Lonchura striata: one gene and its partners. The protein of the gene in region 2 purifies or fractionates together with the protein of the main gene of each other region. This does not show direct contact. Links are inferred from orthologs where the notes say so. Each region holds a gene or a part of one and is shown on either strand. Other genes may lie near its edges.

Region 1 (7,751 bases), on a different chromosome or scaffold from region 2:
CTGCCAAGTCCAAGAAGCATTCCCTATGGACTGAAAACCTCCCATAAGAAACTTGTTTCACCCACACAAGAAATCGATTGAACAAAAATACTAGCTTTCTTATCCTACATAAATCTTTTCCCTTACTTCTATAAAAACATCCTTCTCATAAGACTTCCCTGTTCAAAATATCAGTAATACATCCCTTCTAGACCTTATATTTACTACCACTATGGATCTCCCCTACAAATTCAGGTGCTGCAGAAGCTCTGCTTACACATGTAACAGCTGCAGGCCATAATCACAAGCAAGACCGTTTAAGTCATGTACTTGTCAGCGTGCTCTGCCTTACAAGCTGCATTACTCCAGACTTCTCCCACCAGCTTTTGGGCAGCCCCCTCAACAGAGATGCATTTGTCATTCAATACCATTCCGTTCACCCATCACGTTGAGGGTTTGTGTATTGAGGTGCATTTTGCCAGGCAAGGAAGTGGTACCTGCATTGGGCAGCACTGTCAGGGCTGCGTAGTCAACAGAGCTTTAAGCATGAGAGCCTTAGCACTGTCTGTGCACCCTGCCACTATAGCAGACCTGGCTCCCCTTCACACTGAAACACAGCGGAAGTGATCAGTCTGCAGTTTTGCTGCACGCAGTGAAAATTGATTGTGTTACCTGATCACAAATTGGGCTTAGAGGGACCTGAAAAATAATTCACTTCTTACAATAACGCAGGTTTCAGAATTCATTCTTAGTTATGTGCCAGGCTTTAGAAGTGAACAGAGATAGTGGACCTTCCCTAGAAAATAAGTCTACTTTTGTAAGGCAGCAGTAAGCAATTTTACTGTGTATTCAGCACTATTACTCACAAAATCAACACCACATTTGCTAAAGCTTTTGTTTTAGTGCTGCAAAGTCAGTCAGTACATTCAAGTTCAATACTTCACCTCAGTAAGACACCTCACCTTTGTCAATGTGAACTTCCAGTATCTTCTTCTCTCGAACAATTTTTCTGCCATTGCAGCTCTTACACCGGTCCTTGGGGCTGATACGCTCCCCATGCCCCTGACACTCAATACACACAGACTGGATCTGCTGCACCATTCCTGGCCCAATCTGGTGAATTCTGATCTGCATGCCTGTTCCCCTACAATTAGGGCAGCATTCTACAGCACCTTTCTTACCACCACGACCTGAGAACAAAAAATGGAGTTAGGTGGTTATGTGCTACCAGAAAAAAATCCCCCAAAGCTTTAGAAACATCTCTTTAATTTCAGTTTCAACATTACCTTCACATTTGTCACAGATAATGTTTTTCTGCAGTGCAAGTTTCCTCATCGCACCATTGTACATATCTTCTAAACTTACTGACAACTGGTGGACTACGTTTTTACCTGTAAAAGAACAGAACTTAATTAAAGTTTAGAAGCTTGGTTGGCACATCTCCCTGCCAAGCCAAGATAAACTAAGTCTCTGGGCTTCAGTATCTTGTATCGATAGAGGTTTGTCTTGTTTTGCTTGTATTAGTCAAAAGCTTCTTCCCAGGTGCTGTCATATTAGGTAACAGTTGTCATGACTTTGACTTTGTTAAAGTCAGAAGAGACCTTCTGGAAAAGTACAAACAAGTATGAGCAACAGAACACACAGAACCTCAAACGTTTAAGTTTTATAATGCAGGACTCAGGTTTCAACAAAGTCACCAAAAAGATCTACAAACAAGGCAGAGACTCTGTTTGGAATCTCCATTTCAGCACTTCCTTCCTCTCACCAGGTGACCTTCTGGAAGCAAAAATAAGCAATTATATTTTTACCCTCAAGAACTCCTTAGCACTTCAGCTGCTGTAGGCCTAGTTTTGTAAATGATGCTGAGCTCTGGGTTATTACAAGTACTTTGACACTCTTAACATTTTGATACAAAACATTTTTTCTTCATCTTTTCAACAGATCTTCACTAAGAGGTGACAGGCTCAGCACTGCTCTTAACAGCTTTAAAGTTTTTCCCAGCGTGATTAAACTGGAGTTTAACTTCTGGGTAGCATTTTACCGCAGTTTCAACTTAATTCCACTGCACAGTGCAGGAACACAGAAAAATTTCACAGACTGAACTGGATCTTGATATCTGATTTAGATAGTTGCTTTTAGATACTACAGTTACAGTAACTTAATTAGTAAACCATTTTAAGCTACTTTACCCTTCCATTTCCTATTTTGTCTACTAGCAGCTGGGCTTACACTCAAGCTAAAAGTACTCCGAACACACCTGCTTTAGCGATTAACAGGGGACAGTGCACAGGGATACCCAACTACCACCACACCAACCAAGGGCCCTCCCTTGGTGTTTCAGGTGTTAAGGGACAAGAGTTTTCTCCAATTTTCAGATTAAGTCTATAATTTCTGTTTAAACTCCTACATCTAAGGCATTCCCCTCAGAGAATCTGATACCCTCGCCAACACGTTACCTCGCCTCTCCCTCTGCATCCTTCCTCCACCGCCGAAGAACATATCGAATATGTCCATGGGTGACCCGAAGCCGCCGCCGGAGCCACCCTCCTTGATAGCCTGTTCGCCTCCTTTGTCATAGAGCTCTCTCTTCTTCGGGTCCGACAGCACTTCGTAAGCTTGCGAGATCTGCTTGAACTGCAGAAAGAACAGCACCGGCACTCAGGCACCCGCGGCACCCCCGGCGGGCCTCCCGCCCGACCCCTCCCGCGCGGCCCCCCCCGCCCCGGCCCGTCCCGTCCCGCCGACCTTCTCGCCCTCATTGGGGTTCTTGTCCGGGTGGTACTTGAGTGCGAGCTTGCGGTAGGCCTTCTTCAGCTCCTCGGCGGATGCGTTGGGCTTCACGCCCAGCACGTCGTAGTAGGTGGTCTCCTTCACCATGGCGGTGGCGGCACGGGGGTCCCGGGGCGGCGGTCGCGGATCCCACTCCGCGCAGCTCCGATCCCGACTCTTCTGGAAAGTTCGGGCCGGGCCCGCAGCCCCGCCGCTTCAGCAGCCGGCCCCGCCCCGGAAGTCCTGCCCCGCCGCGCGCAGGGCCCGGGCGAGTGGCCCACCAATGGCTGCTCAGGAGGGGAAGGCGCTTGGCCAATCTGCGCCCGCCTCCGCCGCCGATCTGGAGCGCGGCCCCGCCCCGCCCCGCGTGGGCGGCGCCGTCCCTGCCCAGCGTCCGCCTCGCCTTGCGCCTGCGCCGTCGGCCGCTCCCGCCCTCGAAGGCTCTGAGTAGCACCGGGTACGCAGCGCCGGCCCGGCCGTCGCCTTCCGGCAACGCTCCGCGCCTTACCCCCCTCACCCTACGCAGACTTGGCTCCGCCGCCGCAAGGCCGGCCGGCACTGCCCCTTTGTGAGGGCCCAGCGCCCACCCCCGGGTGCGCGGGCCCAGTGCGCCTGCGCGGAGCTACGCGCCGCGGCGGGCGCCTCCCTCTAGTCACGTGGGAGACACGCTGCCACAGCTGATTGGCTGCAGTGGCGGCTGCGGCGGCGCGAACATCACGCGCGCGGTAAGGGGGAGGGGTCGGTCAGGCGTTGCCATGGGAACGGGGCCCACGGGGATGGGCGTGTTCCCGTGGGGATGGGCGTGTGCCGTGGGGATGGGCATGTTCCCGTGGGGATGGGCGTGTGCCGTGGGGATGGATGGGCGTGTGCCGTGGGGATGGGCGTGTGCCGTGGGGATGGGTGTGTGCCGTGGGGATGGGCGTGTTCCCGTGGGGATGGGTGTGTGCCGTGGGGATGGATGGGTGTGTGCCGTGGGGATGGGTGTGTGCCGTGGGGATGGGCGTGTGCCGTGGGGATGGGCGTGTTCCCGTGGGGATGGGTGTGTGCCGTGGGGATGGGCGTGTTCCCGTGGGGATGGGTGTGTGCCGTGGGGATGGGCATGTTCCCGTGGGGATGGGTGTGTGCCGTGGGGATGGGCATGTTCCCGTGGGGATGGGTGTGTGCCGTGGGGATGGATGGGTGTGTGCCGTGGGGATGGATGGGTGTGTGCCGTGGGGATGGGCGTGTGCCGTGGGGATGGATGGGTGTGTGCCGTGGGGATGGGTGTGTGCCGTGGGGATGGACGTGTGCCGTGGGGATGGGTGTGTGCCGTGGGGATGGACGTGTGCCGTGGGGATGGGTGTGTGGCATGCCAGCGTTAGACTGGGGACCGAGCCTTGCTTTCCGCAGGCATGAGCTCTCCAGTGCAGAGCTCATGAGGGATCTTTACCAGGGTCAAACTGATGTAAGCTTGAAGGTTACATGGCATGGTCCGTGTGCTGACTGTTGCTGGATGAAGCTGTCACAACTCTCTCATCATGTGTTGTCTTCTGCTGCTCTCTCTTATTTTGGTTGTTAAATTAATCTCTTCGGTGAACTCTGATTCAGTGGGAAACAAAGTGACGTTTTTTGTGGTTAGGCTCTTCTGTCAGATGGAACTGTCAATAAAATTGATTTTTCCTATATATGGTTCACAGATGTGAGAATGTATGGTAGTGTAGGAAGGAAAACAGTATTGCCCTTTCAAACAGCAACCTGCTCTTGGATTATGCAAGTGCTGGTGACATGGTTTGCTTTGCATTTCAGAAACTTGAACCAAGTTAATAGAATTGGCTAACCTAATGGTAGCAGAATTCATGGACCATGTTCCACAGCAAGGTAGCCCATCAGAAAGTGGCGTGTTGGTAACACACTGTTTATTTTGCTCTATAGCACAGTGATGCGTATGTGCTGGCTTGTGAGCAAAGAGAAATGCACTCAGCGGGTGAAACTGCCACACTTGGAACCTGTGGTAATTGGGCGTGGCCCAGAGACTGGGATAACAGATAAGAAGTGTTCACGTCAGCAAGGTAAGGTGATTTAGCTCAAATCCTGCTTTCCACGTGCAGCAGCAACTGAGCGTGCCTTGTTCCTCTGTGTGTTCTGCAGTGTTGCCTGCTTCTTGAAGTCATCAAGCCTTTTTAATAAGCACTTATGGGGATCTCTGGGGCCTACAAAATCAGAGACAGGACGTCCGCCTCCACATACAAAAGCTTTTTGTGAGTTCCCAGGCCCACAATTGTGTTTCACTGCTCACTTCATGAGCAGCACTTCTTCTCCCTAGTATTCCACCAACTGATTTTTAGCATAATTATTATTTAATATGTAAAATAATGTGATCTTGGAGAATATATGAAAATACCTATCACTTATTTAATACTGCACATCTTCCCTGTGTTATATTCTGTGCCTCTGGACACAGTCTTGCTCTATGCCTTATTGTCCCAGTGGGCTGGTTAGAATGTCAAGCATATGTATAAATATCAACAGAATCCACCTTTGTTCCAAAGTAATTCCACCCTTGGCTCAGTGTATGGGTTGACTCTGTTTTACCTGTGGTATGAGAAGAGGTATGAAGAGATGAGGCAGAAATATTCTTGGCATGCATTCACAAAGATTAGCTCCAGAAAGATATGGCTCTTCAAAAAGAGGAGTGTTTTCTGGACTGGGTGGTTCAGCAGAGTTCTTTTTATTTACATGGTTTTGTGACACTTTGTTCTTTCTTTTCCAGTTCAGTTAAAAGCAGACTGTAACAAGGGTTATGTCACAGTTAAACAGGTATGTTTTTATGCATGGATCTCCAATATTTCTGGTACTGGGACAGTTGTACTTAACTCCACAACTGCTCCAAGTGGTGATTCTAATCACGGTGTCTGAGGGACCTGAAGTTTTCTTATCACCAAGAGAAGTTACAGCAAGTGTATTTTCTTATTTGTGCACCTCAGTGAGAGGTTGCACTATTCATTCCAGATACATTCCAGTCTAACACAGCCAGATTTGTAGCATCAGGGAATGCTGTTGTGAGTACTCAATCAGTTCTGTTGGGTGCTGCATTTGAGAGACTTTGGACTTCTTCTACTAAACTTGCTTATCTTTTTCCTGAGCCTTAAACTTCATAAGCTGAGGCAGCCCTTTGTTTAAGGTTGAAGTTCTTGTGTTAATGGGACTATGCAGTTGTAGAACATTTTTATTGGTGGACTGATAGGGCCAGAGATGTGGTTACTTATAGGAAGGGATGGGATGTAAGACAGCCCTGCAGGAATGTTACCAGATGGATGGAGGCAGGCCTATTCCCTCACACTTTACAAAACCCAGTCTCTGAGAGAATAGGAAGGGAAAGGTCTCTGGTACTGCTGCTTGTGTGTGTGAAGAGTTGCTCCCCAGGTGAGAGATGTGTGGCACAAGGTTCCAGTGATCAGTTGTTTGATACTTTATTCACTGATGGGAAGCATCCTTGACTTGAGGGAAACTGCATAGCTGTAGACTAAAGAGATCCTGGCTGGAATCAGGTGTGTGCTTCATTGCAGTGAATTCCAAGTGAGAGGTATAGTACTGTCTTGTGAAGCATGCAGGTATGGCAGTGACAAAGCTAGCAAAAACTCTGAGTTCATCAGTCACAGAAGAGAGCTGATTTCCTAAAACCCGTTTTGTGCATATACATTAACCAAAAGCATTTTGCTGAAGACTCCTAATTTTTGTAAGGTCACCTACATGATGATGCAAAATCCATCTGTCAAGCAATCTCTGTAGGTTGCCTACAACACAGTTTGATTGCACAAAAATAATTTGCTAAAACTACAGTTGCTCTTCAGAAATAGTTGCTGTTGTTACTTCATGTAACAGTTGTTACAGTTGTTACATGTAACAGTTGTAACTAGTTGTTTCATAGGTGTCTAATTTGTGAGGGAAGTGCAGCACAAGTGATGCTGTAACTGTGTAGCTGCTGCAGACCCAGGCTCCTTCTGATGGCAGGCCCTGAGGTTGTGTGCTGACAGCTGTGACTGCAAGACTGGGACAGAAACAGACGTCCACAGTGCTTCACTGCCTGGTTGGCTAAAGTGGGTTGATGTGGGCAGGCTGGGCGATGAATGCAGAATGCATTTGCTTTCTAGGATAATGGTATTCCAGGAGAACTGAGCAGAAGTTGGCGATTCCACTTACAACATAATTTTCTACTATTTTTTCCTTTTCCTGTCTACCAAAGATAGGGGTCAACCCAACTAGTGTTGATCTTGTGAATATTGGCAAGGATGAAGTGGTAAAAATGAAGCCAGGCCAAGTTCTGCATATTGTAAATAATCTTTACCCCTATGTGGTGGAATTTGCCGAAGAGTCTGGGAAAACTGTTTCAAAAGCAGACAAGATGCCACATGAGGACTCCTGTGAGAATGATGATATAGAGCTTGTGCCCAGAAAAACAATGAAGTTGGAGGTGGTGGATACACAAGGCAGTTCTACAAATCCAAAGCTAAGCAATACCAAAGTATCTACACATGAAGGAGCTTTGAGCCAAAAGGCAAGTGTGCTGGTGTTAATTCTTGTGCTGTTTCTCCTGGGGTTGTCGCCTCCATGGGGAGACATTGTCTTTTGCTTTTGTCCATTCTGCTGGTGGCAGGCATCTCTGGTGAACACAGGTCCTCAAAGTATAAAGATCCTGACATCACCTACACCCTGGGAAAGTCACTTAGGACCCATTCTAACCTGACCTGAAGGTTAGGTGTGTGTGTGTGAGGGGGCTTCCCTGTAGCAAGTGAGGATTTAATCTCTGGTTTTGGCTGCAGTTTCTGCTAGAAGGACTGTCCACGTGAGCTCCACTTAGCTGCAGTCACCCAAGGACACTGTCCTGGCTCTTGAGTGGTTATCTAAAAGCAAGTGCACAGAGAACTGAACAATGTGAGCCTTTCGTTTTTAAGATTTATTTATTTGTAATTGCATGGGGCTTTTTTCTCCTCCTTATTTGTTCACTTCATATGGCAGAACCATGG
Region 2 (7,566 bases):
GGGGACATTGGGGATGGTGGGGACACGGGGACAGGCTGGGGACGGTGGGGACATGGGGACAGTGGGGACATTGGGGATGGTGGGGACATTGGGGACATTGGGGACATGGGGACAGTGGGGACAGGCTGGGGACACGGACACGGGGGGGACATTGGGGACACAGGACAGCTGGGGACACTGGGAACACAGGGATGTTGGGGACATTGTGGACACGGGGACAGGCTGGAGACATTAGGGACAGGCTGGGGACACAGGACAGGCTGGGGACAGTGGGGACAGGCTGAAGACATTGGGGACATTGGGGACAGCTGGGGACATGGGGACACTGGGGACAGGCTGGGGACAGTGGGGACATGGGGACACTGGGGACACTGGGGACAGGCTGGGGACAGTGGGGACATGGGGACACTGGGGACACTGGGGACACTGGGGACAGGCTGGGGACACTGGGGACACTGGGGACAGGCTGGGGACAGTGGGGACACAGACACGAGGGGGACATTGGGGACACAGGGACAGGCTGGGGACACGGGGACGTTGGGGACAGTGGAGACACGGACATTTGGGACAGGCTGAGGAGGGACACACTGGGACAGCCCTGGGGACACTGGGGGAGGGAACAGCAGCCTGCTCCCCCCAGGGCTCTGAGCACCCTCCCAGTCCATCCCAGTTCCTCCCAGTCCATCCCAATTCCCTCCCAGTGCCATCCAGTGCCCACCACTGCCCTCCCCAGTCCCTCCCAGTTCCATCCCAGTTTTCCCCAGTCGATCCCAGTCCCCTCCCAGTCCATCCCAGTCCATCCCAGTTCCCCAGTTCCTCACCAGGTAGTCCATGCAGTGCTTCCTCACCACCTCGTGCATGTCCTGGTCTCCGTACACCTGATCGGCTGGGGGGACACACAGGTGACATTGGGGGGACACAGGTGACATTGGGGGGGATGGACAGGTGACATTGGGGGGGACGGACAGGTGACATTGGGGGGACACAGAGGTGACATTGGGGGGACACAGGTGACATTGGGGGGGATGGGCAGGGGGCATTGGGGGGACATGCAGGTGACATTGGGGGGGGACGGGCAGGTGACATTGGGGGGGGGACGGGCAGGTGACATTGGGGGGACATGCAGATGACAGTTGGGGGTCTGTGGGGGATTTTTGGGGGGGATTTTTGGGGGATTTTTGAGGGGATTTTTGAGGGGATTTTTGAGGGGATTTTTGGGGGGGATTTTTGGGGGGGGTCTGTGGGGGATTTTTGAGGGGATTTTTGGGGGGATTTTTGGGGGGGATTTTTTGGAGGGATTTTTGGGGGGATTTTTGGGGGGATTTTTGGGGGGGATTTTTGGGGGGTCTGTGGGGGATTTTTGGGGAGATTTTTGGGGGGATTTTTGGGGGGATTTTTGGGGGTGTCTGTGGGGGATTTTTGGGGGGATTTTTGGGGGGATTTTTGGGGGGATTTTTGGGGGGATTTTTGGGGGGGTCTGTGGGGGATTTTTTGGGGGGATTTTTGGGGGGGATTTTTTGGAGGGATTTTTGGGGGGATTTTTGGGGGGGTCTGTGGGGGATTTTTGGGGGGATTTTTGGGGGATTCGGGATGGTTTCGGGGCTCACCCACGGCCCGGAACAGGCAGGCCCCATCCTCCTTCATGCGCTTGATGATGAAGCCTTTCTTCTCCCGCAGCGCCTTCTCGAACCGGTGCTCCTGCTGGAGACACAGCCGGGCTCGGGGGGGTCCCGGGGGGCCCTCGGGACATTCGGGGGTCCCTCGGGGCATTTGGGGGGTCCCTGGGGGTCCTTCGGGTCATTGGGGGGGGCACAGGATGAGGGGAGCTGAGGGAGCCACAGGGGATGAGGGGTGGGGTCACAATGGGGGGAAAAAGGTGGGGGGGTCAGGGAGGTTCTTAAGGATGGGGGGGGGTCCTGGGGGGGTTTAGAGGTCCCTTGGGCCATTTGGGGGGTCCCTGGGGGTCCCCTGGGTCATTGGGGGGGGTACGAGTTGGGGGGAGCTGAGGGAGCCACAGGGGATGAGGGGTGGGGGCCAAAAACGGGGGGTTCAGGGGGGTTCTTGGGGATGGGGGGGGTCCTTTAAGGATTTGGGGGGTCCCCCGGGTTATTTGGGGGGGGTATGAGAGGGGGAAACTGAGGCAGCCACAGGGGATGAGGGGTGGGGGTCCAATGGGGGGGTCCCGGGGGTGTCACCGAGAGGGGACACTGGGAATGGGGGGGGTGGGGGGGAAAACTTTGGGGGACAGGGAAGGGTCCCAAAGCGGGGGATGGGGCACCCAAAGCGGGGACAATTTGGGGACAATTTGGGGACAATTTGGGAACAAACGGCAGCAAAATGGGGACGGCGACAACCCCGCATGGGGGGGGGCGGCAACATCGGGGACACCGAACCCCGGCAGGACCCCCGGTGTCCTCCCGGTGTCCCCCCGACATCCCCTGATGTCACCCAGTGTCCCCCAGTCCTCCCCAGTGTCCCCCCAGTGTCCCTCGCTGTCCCCCCGGTATCTCCCGGTGTCCCCCCCCGGCCCTCCCCCGCGTCCCGGTGTCCCCCCGGTGTCCCCTCGCTACTCCCGGTATCCCCAGATGCCCCCGCGCTGTCCCCGCCGGTGCTCCCCGGTGTCTCCCGGTGTCTCCCGGTGCTCCCTCGTGTCCCCCCGGTATCCCCGGTCCCCTCCCCTGTAGCCCGGTCCCTCCCCGGTGTCCCCGGATGTCCCCGCGCTGTCCCCTCGCTAATCCCGGTGTCTCCCCGCTGTCCCCCCAGTCCTCCCCGCTGTCCCCCCGGTATCTCCCGCTGTTCCCCCGGTATCTCCCGCTGTCCCCCCGCTGTCCCCGCTGTCCCCGCCGCTCTCCCCGCACCTGCTCGGCCGTGGCCGGGTCCATCTCCACCCTGCCGGCCTCGTACTCGTCCTCGCTGTTGTAGCCGCCGCCCGCCTCGTCGGGCCCGGGGCTGCCGCAGCCGGGGCCCAGCCCCAGGCCGAGCGCGATGCCGCCGGGGCCCGGTCCCGCGGGGCCGCCGCCGCTGGGCCCGGCCCCGCCGCGCCGCCGCCGCTTGCTGTGCCCGGGGCCGCCGCCGCCGCCGCCGCAGCCGCCGGGCCCGCGGGGCTCGGGCAGCCCCAGCGCCGCCGCCTCCAGCCCCAGCAGCGCCGCGGGGCCGTCGGCCGAGCCGGGCCCGCCGCTACCGGCGCCGCCGGGCCCCGCGGGCGGGGGGGACCCGGCGGCCGCGGCCCAGCCCCGCAGCGGCGGCGGCGGCGAGGCGCGAGGCCGCGGCCCCCCCACGCCGCCGGGGCCGCCGGCTTCGCCGACGCCTCCGGGGCCTCGCTCGGGCCCCGCGTCCGCTCCGCGCTCGGGCCCCGCGTCCGGGCCGGAGTCGCCGTCGCCGTCGGGAGCCGGTACCGGCTTCTTCTTGGGGAGGATCGTCATGGCGGGGCGCGCATGGGGCGGGGGCGGGGGGCGGGCCGGGGGCGCGCGGCGCGGCGCGGGGCGCGGCGGGGCCGGGGCGCGGCGGCGGCGGCGGCGGCGGCGGGGCCGGGGCCGCCCCGGCGCTGAGGGGCCGCGGGCGCTGCGGCCGCCGGGGCCGTGTCAACATCAACAGCCGCCACCTCCGACCCCGCGCGCGCTTCCGCCTCGCCCGCGGCGCGCCGCGCCATTGGCTGCCGCGGGAGAAGGAGCGCTCCGATTGGTCCGCAGCCGGGAGGAAGTCCCGCCTTTCTTCTCCTCCGCCTCCGTGAGGGGAGGCGGGATGGGCGTTGCCATGGGGATGGAAGGGGAGAGCGCGGATTGGGCGAGGCGGGGAGGGACGGGCGGTGATTGGTTGGTTTTGGGGGAGGGAGGGGAGGGGGGAGGGAGGTGATTGGTTGGTGGAGGTGCCGGTTGAGCGGAGAGGGGAGGGGTGGATCGGTGTAAACGTGAGCGCTGATTGGGTGGCGGCACGTCAATCATCGCTGGGCGGGAGCAGCGAGGAGACGCCGAGCGTTGATTGGCGCGGGCTTAAACCCCGCCCACGTCGCCACCTTATTGGCTACAGCGAACGACCTAATTTCCTATTGGCTCAGGCGCGGCAGGGGCGGAGCCCAGCTGGGATCCCGCCCCTTTGAGGACCCCACTCATCTGTCAATCACCCACAAGCCCCGCCCCTTCCCCGCCCTCCCACGTGGTCCAACCCCCCAGGACCCCCCCCAGGAACCCCAAAAACTCACCAGAAACCCCCAAAACTAACCAGGACCCCCCAAAACCCCCCAAGACCCCCCCAGGACCCCCCAGAAACCGCCCAGGACCCCCCAAAAAACCCCCAGGAACCCCAAAAACTCACCAGAAACCCCCAAAACTCACCAGGACCACCCAAAACCCCCCCAGGACTCCCCAAAAACTCCTCAGTACTACCCCAAATCCATCAAGAGACCCCAAAAACCCTCCAGGTACCCCAAAAATGTGCCAGAACCCCCCCAAAGCCCCCCAAAACCCATCAGAACCCCCCAAAAAACCTCCAAAAGCAGAGCCCGAGCTCCATTTCCAGCTCCTTTATTCAAACCCATCCCTGCCCCCCAGGAACGAGGGACATTCCCACGGAAGACCCCCAAAAACGAGGTGGGGATGCCCCAAATTTAGGTGGGGACCCCGAGAACAAAGCTGAGACCCCCAAAAACGAGGGGGAGGTCCCCGTGGGGAACACGGGGGGCTCCGACCGCTCTCCCTGAGCTTTTTTGGGGGGGTCCCAAAATTCATCTCCAGGACCCTCCCGGTGCTGAACCTTCCCACGGGGGGGTTCCCCGATGCTGAGGGGGGGTCCCTCAGTCTGGGGGGGTTCCCTCACCCCTGGGTGGGGGTCTCAGTGGCCTTATGGTGGGGTCCCTCACCCCATGGGGGTCCCTCACCCCTGGGTGGGGGTCTCTCACCCCTGGGTGGGGGTCTCAGTGGCCTTGTGGCGGGGCGGGTCATGGGGGGTCCCTCACCCCTGGGTGGGGGTCTCTCACCCCTGGGTGGGGGTCTCAGTGGGCCTTTGTGGCGGGGCCGGTCATGGGGAGGTCCCTCACCCCATGGGGGGGTCCCTCACCCCTGAGTGGGGGTCTCAGTGGCCTTGTGGCAGGGCCTGTTGTGGGGGGGTCCCTCACCCCATGGGGGGTCCCTCACCCCTGGGTGGGGGTCCCTCACCCCTGGGTGGGGGTCTCAGTGGCCTTATGGTGGGGTCCCTCACCCCATGGGGGTCCCTCACCCCTGGGTGGGGGTCTCAGTGGGCCTTGTGGCGGGGTCCCTCACCCCTGGGTGGGGGTCCCTCACCCCTGGGTGGGGGTCTCAGTGGCCTTGTGGCGGGGTCCCTCACCCCTGGGTGGGGGTCCCTCACCCCTGGGTGGGGGTCTCAGTGGGCCTTGTGGCGGGGCCGGTCGTGGCCGCGCTGGGCCCGGGCCAGCTGCCGCCCGGCGTCCACGAGCAGCAGGCCGGGCACCAGCAGCCAGAGCCCGTTGAGCCCCACGAAGTAGCCCCAGAAGTAGAGGGGCCGCGGGTCACTGTGCGCCCAGCCCGCCCGCGCCTCCGTGGCGAAGTACAGCACGTCCCCGTAGAGCTGGCCTGCGGCGGGGACAGGCAGGGCATGGGGACAGGGACAGGCAGGGCATGGGGACAGGGACAGGGACAGGCAGGACATGGGGATGGGGACAGGGACAGGCAGGACATGGGGACAGAGACAGGGACAGGCAGGACATGGGGACAGGGACAGGCAGGACATGGGGACAGGGACAGGGACAGGCAGGGCATGGGGATGGGGACAGGGACAGAGGGACAGGGACAGGCAGGGCATGGGGACAGGGACAGTCAGGGCATGGGGACAGGCAGGGCATGGGGACAGGCAGGGCAGGGGGACAGGCAGGGCAGGGGGACAGGGACAGGCAGGGCATGGGGACAGGGACAGGCAGGACATGGGGACAGGGACAGGGACAGGCAGGGCATGGGGACAGAGACAGGCAGGGCATGGGGACAGGGACAGGGACAGGCAGGGCATGGGGACAGGGACAGCCAGGGCATGGGGACAGGCAGGGCATGGGGACAGGCAGGGCAGGGGGACAGGGACAGGGACAGGCAGGGCATGGGGACAGGGACAGGGACAGGCAGGGCATGGGGATGGGGACAGGGACAGGCAGGGCATGGGGATGGGGACAGGGACAGAGGGACAGGGACAGGCAGGGCATGGGGACAGGGACAGGCAGGGCACGGGGACAGGGACAGGCAGGGCATGGGGACTGTCAGGGCATGGGGACAGTCAGGGGGAACACGGGACAGGGACTGGAGATGGAGACAGCCTGGGGACGGGGACAGCCAGGGGATGGGGACAGCTTGAGGGGGACAGGAACAGGGAACGTCAAGGGGGGACAGCCTGAGGAGGACAGGGACAGGAGACAGGGGACAGGGACAGCCTGAGGGGGACAGGAACAGGGAACAGGGACAGTCTGAGGGGGACAGGGACAGGAGACAGGGGACAGGGACACTCTGAGGGGGACAGGGAAAGGAGACAGCAGACAGGGACAGTCTGAGGGGGACAGGGACAGCCTGGGGGGGACAGGGACAGGAGACAGTCTGAGGAGGACAGGGACAGTCACGGGGGGACAGGAGACAGGGGACAGCCTGGGGGGACAGGGACAGCCTGGGGGGGACAGGGACAGGAGACAGGGGACAGCCTGGGGGAACAGGGACAGCCTGAGGGGGACAGGGACAGGAGACAGGGGACAGGGACAGCCTGGCGGGACAGGGACAGCCTGGGGGGACAGGGACAGGAGACAGGGGACAGGGACAGCCTGGCGGGACAGGGACAGCCTGGGGGGGACAGGGACAGGAGACAGGGGACAGTCTGGGGGAACAGGGACAGTCTGAGTGGGACAGGGACAGCCTGAGGGGGACAGGGACAGGAGACAGGGGACAGGGGACAGTCTGAGGGGGACAGGGACAGCCTGGGGGGACAGGGACAGCCTGAGGGGGACAGGGGACAGTCTGAGGGGGACAGGGACAGCCTGGGGGGACAGGGACAGCCTGAGGGGGACAGGGACAGGAGACAGGGACAGCCTGGGGGGACAGGGACAGTCTGGGGGGACAGGGACGTGGCCGCGCCGTACCCAGGGACACGATGAGCTGCAGCACGAAGCGCGCCGGGTGCTGCCGCAGCAGCGCCAGGAAGGTGAGGAAGCTGAGGGGACCCCAGGCCCAGGCTGTCACCGTCTCCATGGCCACCGTGAAGTCATCGCTCCTGCGGGGACACCCCGGGGTGGCGGGTCACCCGGGGACACCGGGGACGGGCCACCCCTCCCCGTGTCCCCGCGTCCCCAACTCACGTCATGTAGCGGCTGTCGGCCTTGGCGTATTCCTTCCCTGCCGATTTGGGGAGGGGTCACCGGGGTGGGGGGGGAAGGGGACCCCCACAGCCCCCAGGGGACACCCAGGACGCGGCTGTGCCCTGCCACCAGCCCAGGGACCCCTCAGACACCCCAGGGACCCCTCCCCACATATCCAGGGACCCACTCAGATGCCCCCAGGACCCCTCCCCACATATCCAGGGACCCCTCAGATGCCCCCAGGACCCCTC
Region 3 (7,546 bases), on a different chromosome or scaffold from region 2:
CAGCAGAGAAGAGGGAATTCTGCTTCCTTGCCACATGCCCAGGAAAGCCCAGAGTGACAGTTTGTATGTGGAACCTTCATCCAGAATTGCTGTGCTATTGGCCTGCAGCTTACTCTAAAGGCTGCCATGCACTTGTCATGGAATGTAAAGCCATTAATGCTGGCTGAATGTTCAACCCTGGTGAAAATCTCAGAGTGCCATTAGTGTACTGTTCCCTATCATTTGTTTCTGTTCAGCCACTGCCCATGGTTTAGATTACATCTAATCAAGGCAAGTAGGACGTGTACTTGTGCCACCAGAGTCATCGGCCGCACGCGTTTGTGCTGAACGTCACCCCAGCAGGCGCCGACGTCGGGGAAAGCAAGTCCTGGTGAGCTCTTTTTAGCAGGCCTGGCACCAGTCCCCAAACTGGTTCTCCCTGAATAGACTTGTGTGTCTGCCAGGGGCTTCCCTTGCACACAGCCAGATGCAGTGGGGTCTGGATATCACCCCTCCAACCAGGGCCCTTCTATTCCCACAGCTCAGTCCCACTGCCTATTCATTTTAATTGTAAGTTACATTCTCCCCCTCCATATTCTCTTTTATTCATTCTTGCATCACCCTTTTTCCTCTGTTTTCACATCAGCCAACCTCTTCATTACAAAAGTTCCCTACATTTTTTGCTATGAGCAAAAAGCATTAAAAATGCAATATTTAGACAACATAAAATCCTAATAATCCTGTTTTTACATGCTTTGACTTCTGCCTCTGCTGGAGGCATCACTTGTCCTGCCTACAGCTGAACCAAAAATAAATGTGGGGGAAACACACTGCATGTTCTAGTATTTGTAAATTATTAGACTTCTGAGGTTATGTAATAATTTTGTAAAATTATGTAAAAACTTTTAATTTCTTAGCAATCAATGATACCAGAAACAAAAGACTAGCTAAATCTTATTGTAAGAACTTAATAGCCTTCCAGTGTACAAGGCTTCAGCACGAGAAAACAGGGGTCATGTAGCAGGACCTCAGTGAAGACTCACAAGTCGCTGTAATATGCTGTGTAAATACTTAATATGCGTATGTTTCATTTTGCCAGTCCTGTAAATTAACTTTTTATCTGGTTATTCAGTTCTCTTATCATCCTCAGCTTGTTTACTGAATTTCATGTCTTGGGCAAGATGAAGCAAGCTCATGAGGAGTAGCTGGTTTTCAAAAGATACAAGCTCCAGATAACTGAGGACAAGTAAGGCACACAACAATATTGAAATCACTCAGAGTTTTATTGCAGCTGACTGAGACAGAGTGTGCTTTGAGGCTGGGAAATTTCCATTCCTGAACTGCAGGACAGTGCCTGGATACTGCTACAACTGCAGTTGAAAAATAAAAGCAACTTAATTTTATACAGACAGCTACAAAATGTTAGTATATTAATTAAAATAGCTAGATTTATATTATAAGCTTTTAAGGTTGCTGTAAAATAGATCCCTTTAAAAATATTTAGAGTATGATTGTAAATTACTTGTTCAAAACTAAAGAATATGAAAATGATTTGAAATTGCAACTGTGTTTTCAAACTGTATTTGTGAACAGCAAAACTAACCAGAACATGATAGATAATACAAGACATCTCCTACAACAGTGACAGGTTCTGACAGTGACAGAATGATACCCAGTGCAGGATCAAGGCTGTTACTGACAGAATCATTCTGCAATTAATAATCTTTTGTGCTCCCCTTGGCATGCACAGAACAACCACAGCAATCTGTTTTCTCATCTTAACTCCATGGTGTCTAAGCTCCATGTAAAGTCTGCCAGAATGTTGAATGCAGAAAAAAAGAAATACTGGGGAGGAAAGTAAATTTTTTCTGGCACCAAGGCCCAGCAGTGTGGATGAGAGATTGTTTTTAACCTCCCAGCAGTGCAAGATTACAGCAATAGCCTCATTTTCATTAAGGTCGTTTTACACTGCGAAAGCAGTGGTCATTCACATGAAGATGAGTCTCAAGGGATTTCTGATGTGTGTCACCTGTTCTGTCAAGCCCAGGTAGGTACTGACTAGAAGTTATTACCAGCTGATGCTCTTTCTGAATCTTAGGATAGTTCCCTGTGGATCAGAGCTCATATCTAAGCAATTTCAAGAACCATCACCATGGTTCCTGAGTGCCTTAGAAGTTAAAATATATCTTTATAAAACATTTTAACATGTCTTATTTCTCTCTCTCATCACCCCCGCACAAAGGCTTGAGGTCTTTTTAAATAATTCTGGTAAAACTGTATGTACTTAATGCCAGTGTTTGATTGGGATGATGGGGAGGTTCAGGTTTATGCTGACATACTTGTACAACAGCTACCAAGAAAGCCACGGCTGCAAATCACACAACCGGTATAATTATGATGATTTTAGGAGATGTGGCTTCAGTTTTAAATTAGCACAAAGATCTGAGATGCCTCCCACCCCCACTACAGAGGGACACCATAGGGCAGCTCCATGCTGTTTGTCCTCAGCCTGACCCAGCACTGCTGATCCCAGGGCTCAGGGGCCCTGTGGTACAATGTTCCCTTTTCAAGAGACCTATTTACAGAACAAGAATTAACAGTTAAAGCAGAAACGAGTAACAGTGCAGGGAATTTCTAGATCCTGATTGTAGGATGAACTCATTCATGTGACTCCTGAACTTGACTGAAGATGGAGACAGTCCAAACCATGACGTATTTACACTGACTTAGCTAATGGCTTAGCTTTTTCTTAATATTCCTGTTTCTGCTTACACAAACTCTTCTCTGTTCAAAATAAAAAGGTCTTTTCCTTCTGCTTCTCATTATCTGCTATAATTTTTTAGTAAGTATCACCTCTTCTCCCCCTTCATTTTGATCATGGAACTCATAATTTTCTTAAAACATGTTTATGTGCTTTCCAAAATTGAGGCTTTTATGTCACCTTATTAAGGCAAAAGACCCAACATTAAGTGCAGGTAATGGCAGTGTATTTAAGTAGGGTGAAAACTGATTGATACCACTCCCATCTGCTCTGCCTATCTCAGCAACTGCAGAGCTTCACTGAAACACTGCACCCAGTTCTGCCATGGGAGGAGTTGTTGGGAGAGCATGCTGTAGCCTCTGACCATTTACTCGGGTTTAATTGGATTAGACATATATTTGAACACAGTGCTCAAAAGAGCTGACAGTCCTTCCACGATTTCCTGGCCTGCCTGGTTGGTTTCCTTTTTGATCAGACACATCCCACGAAGGTAGAAAATAATTTAGATATACACCAGTTTTTAATTAAATTTAGTATGGCAGGCTGTGTTTAAGCTACATTCTCCATAATAATTTGTTTTGCATTTGCTAATGACAGAGTTATATATGTATGTAACAGAACTGTAAGCAAATTTTCATTTTTAGAGTTAAAAGAACCTTTAAAATAATACTGTACTTGGTTTCAGAAAATTGAAACACTTGCATTTACTGGTGTCTGAAATTTCTGAGAAAAAGAATGCTGTGTGTCTGAAGTGCAGAACGCATCACGAAACAAAAACCATCATAGACATGTAAAAATTAATACATCAGAAGCATTATCCCACCCAAATATACAAACCACGAGCTGTAGAGTCGAATGCCTGTTAAAGACAGAGGCGAGTTTGTTGGATTTTGGTGCTTGTCCCTGACAGGTTTCCCTCCATCAGCCGAGGCTGGGTGGCTCCCGGAGCCCTGGGGCAGCCGGGGGCGCAGCCGGAGCCGGGACTGCGCTCCCCGCCCCGGGCACCACTGAGGCGGCTCGGCCGACGGCAAAGGAGCCGGGTCGGAGCAGGAAGGGCCGGGAGAAGGCGGGATGCCAGAAACGACCTCGGCGAGTTGGGAGAAGCGAGGCATCGCCGGGGCCATGGGTGCGGACAGACGCGAAGCAGCGGAGATGCTGGCAGAGAAAATATCAGTAGTAACCACGGTTAGTACTTCTGTCAGGGTCATTAGAGAACTGCTGGAAAGGGCAGAACTGGAGTTAAGATCCTTGTGCATGAAGCCCTGCAAACAAGGAAAAAGCTGTTTCAGGAAAACTCTGCCTTGCAGAAAACCAGAAAAGATACGGCACGGTTGCAAGCAGTACTCAAACCATGACTAACCTTCAGCTGAGATTTTACCTCCCCTACAAAGTTTATTTACATTTATACGGGAAGCAGCGAACAGGAAAACGTCATTACATGTAAAAACATTATGCTGAAAAGAGTTTGCAGAACCGTGTGAAGCCGGGAAGGGTCACAAACGAAGTCGCGCTCATGGCAGGGCGGAGCGGGCTGAGGGCGGCCGGGCCCGGCTCCATTTCCCGCCCGTCACCTGACGCCTCTAATGGCGCCGCGCGGCCACGTGACCCGCCGCGCGCCCCACGTGACCCGCGGCCGCCGCGCCCCCTCCCCAGCGGCTGCGGTTACCGCAGTCCCCGGCCCCGCCCCCGGCCCCGCCCCCTGCGCGCGCGGCCCCGCCCCGCGCCGCTCCCTGCGCGCGCGTCCTCGCCCCCCCCGCTCCCCCCTTGCACCTCCCGGGCCGGGCGGTGCGCGCGCGCGGCCGGCGGCGCCTCCTCAGAGCGGCCGCGGCGGGTTCGGCGCTGACGGGGCCGGCGGGCCGAGAGCGGCGGAGCGGCCGGAGCGGGCGGCGCCTCTTCCTCCCTCCTCCTTCTCCTCCTCCTCCTCTCTCCTCCCTCCCGCATCCTCCTCCTCGCCCCCCTCCTCGCCCGCCTCCGCCCCCCCGCACGCAGCACCGCGGTTCCCGGCACGGACAACATGGCGGCGGTGTCGGGGGCAGGGGCTGCGGGCGGCTCCGCCAGCGCCGGCGGCCCGGAGATGGTGCGGGGACAAGTGTTCGACGTGGGGCCGCGCTACACCAACCTCTCCTACATCGGCGAGGGGGCCTACGGCATGGTGTGGTGAGTGCAGCCGCCGGGGCAGCGCCCTTGCCCCGGACAACTCCCTCCTCCCTTCCCTCCCTCCTTCCCGCCGCCCTGCCCGGCCGCGGGCCTGGCCCGCCCTTGCCCTCGGGGAGGGGGAGCAGCTCTGCCTCCCGCTCCTCAGCTCTGCCTCCTCTCCGTGTTCCCGAGGCTGTCTCTCCGGCATCACCCTTCTTTCCCTCCCTTCACCCCCCCATCCCTCGGTCGGTGGGTGCAGCTGAGCGTCTCGTTTCGTTTCGCTCCTGCGTTTATTTTCTTTAAATCTTGTGCCTCTGGAGTTGGTCGCTCTCGTTATTTCCTCCGTCTCCGTAGTGCGATTGCAGACGTTCAGGAAGGGGAGGAGGTAGTAAATCCTGCTGGCAGCCCCGCGTCCCTTCCAGTGCCCTGCGAGGGCTCACCTGGCTGCAGCAGCCGAGGTCGCGGGGATAAAAAAGGTGAATCCGAGCATAGGAGTTGCTGCCGCTGCCTGACTTTGCTCAGGACGTGCTGTCTGTGCTGCAGAGCTGGCCGGATTAGTGCCTGCCTTATTGTGTGCAGGTGAAAGTTATCTTCAGCCTTCCTAGGTCTAAATTATATTGTATTATAAAGACTTAGTCTGAGTCTCGCTGAAAAGCGATCGTGTAGGTTTGCTGTGGGTAACATCGGTCTTACAGAGAGCCGTGAACGAACTACAAAAAACGTGAACTAACTGGATTGAGAGTGTGAGATGGATTTTTTAGCAGTCTCAATGAGCTGGGGTGATGCTGTCTGATCTGTGCATCTAATGACTAGGTTATTAACCTGGCATGCTCAGTAGCCTTACTTAGGATTTCATATTTTGTCTTCCATTAGTTAAAAAAACCCTGTAGTCCTGAAATAACTTAAGGGATGCAGATAAAAAATTCTTTTTTATTGCTGTTTTATCAACTTCTTTGCAACGCTGCCTCTGTTTCTTCAGTATGATTTTTGACCAGAAGTACTAAAAGCAACTTACAGGCTGTGACTTAATGAAAGCTTTATCAGCATTAATTTCTCTCTCTGATGGGGAATCTTTTGTAAAGCAGTGTATTTCTCAGCGAGGACACCTCACAGCCTTCAGCTGTGTGCTACATAGATTTTTATAGCTGTAGGTTTTTGCACATAGTCACTGAATTGTGCTGGCCTGTCAGGATGAAGTCGTTGTGTGTTTCAGGGAGGGGGCTTTCATCTAGGCCTGAGTTCAGCTGGGAGATGAGCCTCTCTCAGAGTTTTGTGTTGTGGCCTTCACTTTTCTTACTTTGCTGTGGGAAGATTCTTCAAAATGTAAATCAAAAATCCTATTTACTGTATAAAAAATATCCTTGTTATTGTTTCAGTGTTAGAAATCACAGCAATATATCTAGTCCAAAATTTGTTGATATATCTTCTGGTACAGGCTGTATTTTATTATGGTTATTTTATCATCTGGAGCAGTGTAAGGAAATGAATGCAGATAATCTCAGTAGTGGCTGCACTGGTTTGCATTCACAGTCAGGTTTTTGAAGGTCCTGGGGAGTAGCGTAGCTGAGGTGTGTGCTGGGGACAGTCCAGTTGACTTCAATGGGGTGTTAAAAACTGGGTTTCACAATCAAAGTGAAAAGCTAAAATATTTCACCACAGATGAGGGACTGCAAGAAGCAGCATGATGGCAGTTGATGCCCTTTTTTGGCATCCCTGTGCCAGTGTTCAGATACAGGGGAAACGGGGCCACTTCTGCCCCTCCAAATGGTGTGTGGTAAACTTCTACACTGAAGCTGTTTCCACTCTAAATCCAAAAGACTGATTTTTATTTGAAAACTTCTTCTGATACTTTGTGTCTGCTGTGAATGCTGTGCAAAATCACTATCAAATTGATAATTTCCAAATCTCCAGTTCAGCTGAAATACACACTTGGCTCCTTGCACTTGTCTGTAAAATTATTAACATAAAATGCCACATTATGTATTTTGTGCTTGTGATTATTGCTCTTGTGCCTTGGGTGTGAAATGACAGGGAACAAAGTCTCAGTTTATGGCGTGTACACGATCAGGAAAGTGTTGGATGCACTTGTAGCAGTGCCATAGCAGCTGTGCCCTATTGTGGTGACTGCGATGAAATGCGATTGCCTATCAATCCCAGCCATGCAGGTTGAGCAGTTTACTGCTCTGTGTTTCTTGTTTTGCTCTGGTTGCTAATGCAGTGAGGATCTGCAGAAGCTTCTCCCTCAGGGGGTGGGGTAGAGGGCAAGCTGTGAGTGTGCAGATGGAGATGTTTCCTGCAACTGCAAAATCCATTTAAATTTGTACACGTTAATAAAGGAAAGCAAAGCAGGTCCTGATGGTTTTGTTTTAGACCCACAGCTAATGTGGAGCTCTTTGGAGATGATGGTTATTTACAAGTGCACTGTGCCATAAGGCTTGTTACTTGGCAAACGAGTGTCTTTTGAATCTTAAAATCCTTCACTCTCTCTCTTGTTTTATCCTGATTCTTATGTTTCTACATTATTGGATTAGGGATTTGAAAACAATAAAATGCTTTCGATTATATGAGTAAAAGGGCAAATGAAGTATTCTTAGGACAGTGCTGTTATGGCCAGTCTTCCATTTTGATTTTGCAGCAGAGAGAATAATGTTTGAGAAATATTGATCACAA

What was found.
Region 1: the proteins of OTUD5 (region 2) and dnaJ homolog subfamily A member 1 purify together in Homo sapiens (affinity purification with mass spectrometry, with the first as the bait; 3 studies listed by BioGRID). This does not show direct contact. The link is inferred for Lonchura striata from reciprocal best matches to the Homo sapiens genes OTUD5 and DNAJA1.
Region 3: the proteins of OTUD5 (region 2) and MAPK1 purify together in Homo sapiens (affinity purification with mass spectrometry; 3 studies listed by BioGRID, with this or other methods). This does not show direct contact. The link is inferred for Lonchura striata from reciprocal best matches to the Homo sapiens genes OTUD5 and MAPK1.

What each region holds. Positions count from the first base shown.
Region 1 is NC_134642.1:48,010,407-48,018,157, forward strand, and holds the start of dnaJ homolog subfamily A member 1, read right to left. Parts: upstream 3,005-7,751; 5' UTR 2,857-3,004; coding exon 2,725-2,856; intron 2,614-2,724; coding exon 2,436-2,613; intron 1,371-2,435; coding exon 1,266-1,370; intron 1,170-1,265; coding exon 942-1,169; intron 1-941. Other genes in the region: APTX (aprataxin), read left to right, coding at 3,645-3,826, 4,660-4,796, 5,498-5,544, 6,971-7,282.
Region 2 is NC_134638.1:1,035,672-1,043,237, reverse strand, and holds the start of OTUD5 (OTU domain-containing protein 5), read right to left. Parts: upstream 3,007-7,566; 5' UTR 2,883-3,006; coding exon 2,859-2,882; intron 1,702-2,858; coding exon 1,608-1,701; intron 887-1,607; coding exon 822-886; intron 1-821. Other genes in the region: EBP (3-beta-hydroxysteroid-Delta(8),Delta(7)-isomerase), read right to left, coding at 5,356-5,564, 7,100-7,230, 7,316-7,352. UniProt on the Homo sapiens protein: Deubiquitinating enzyme that functions as a negative regulator of the innate immune system. Has peptidase activity towards 'Lys-48'- and 'Lys-63'-linked polyubiquitin chains. Can also cleave 'Lys-11'-linked ubiquitin chains (in vitro).
Region 3 is NC_134620.1:7,339,544-7,347,089, forward strand, and holds the start of MAPK1 (mitogen-activated protein kinase 1), read left to right. Parts: upstream 1-4,542; 5' UTR 4,543-4,754; coding exon 4,755-4,897; intron 4,898-7,546. UniProt on the Homo sapiens protein: Serine/threonine kinase which acts as an essential component of the MAP kinase signal transduction pathway. MAPK1/ERK2 and MAPK3/ERK1 are the 2 MAPKs which play an important role in the MAPK/ERK cascade.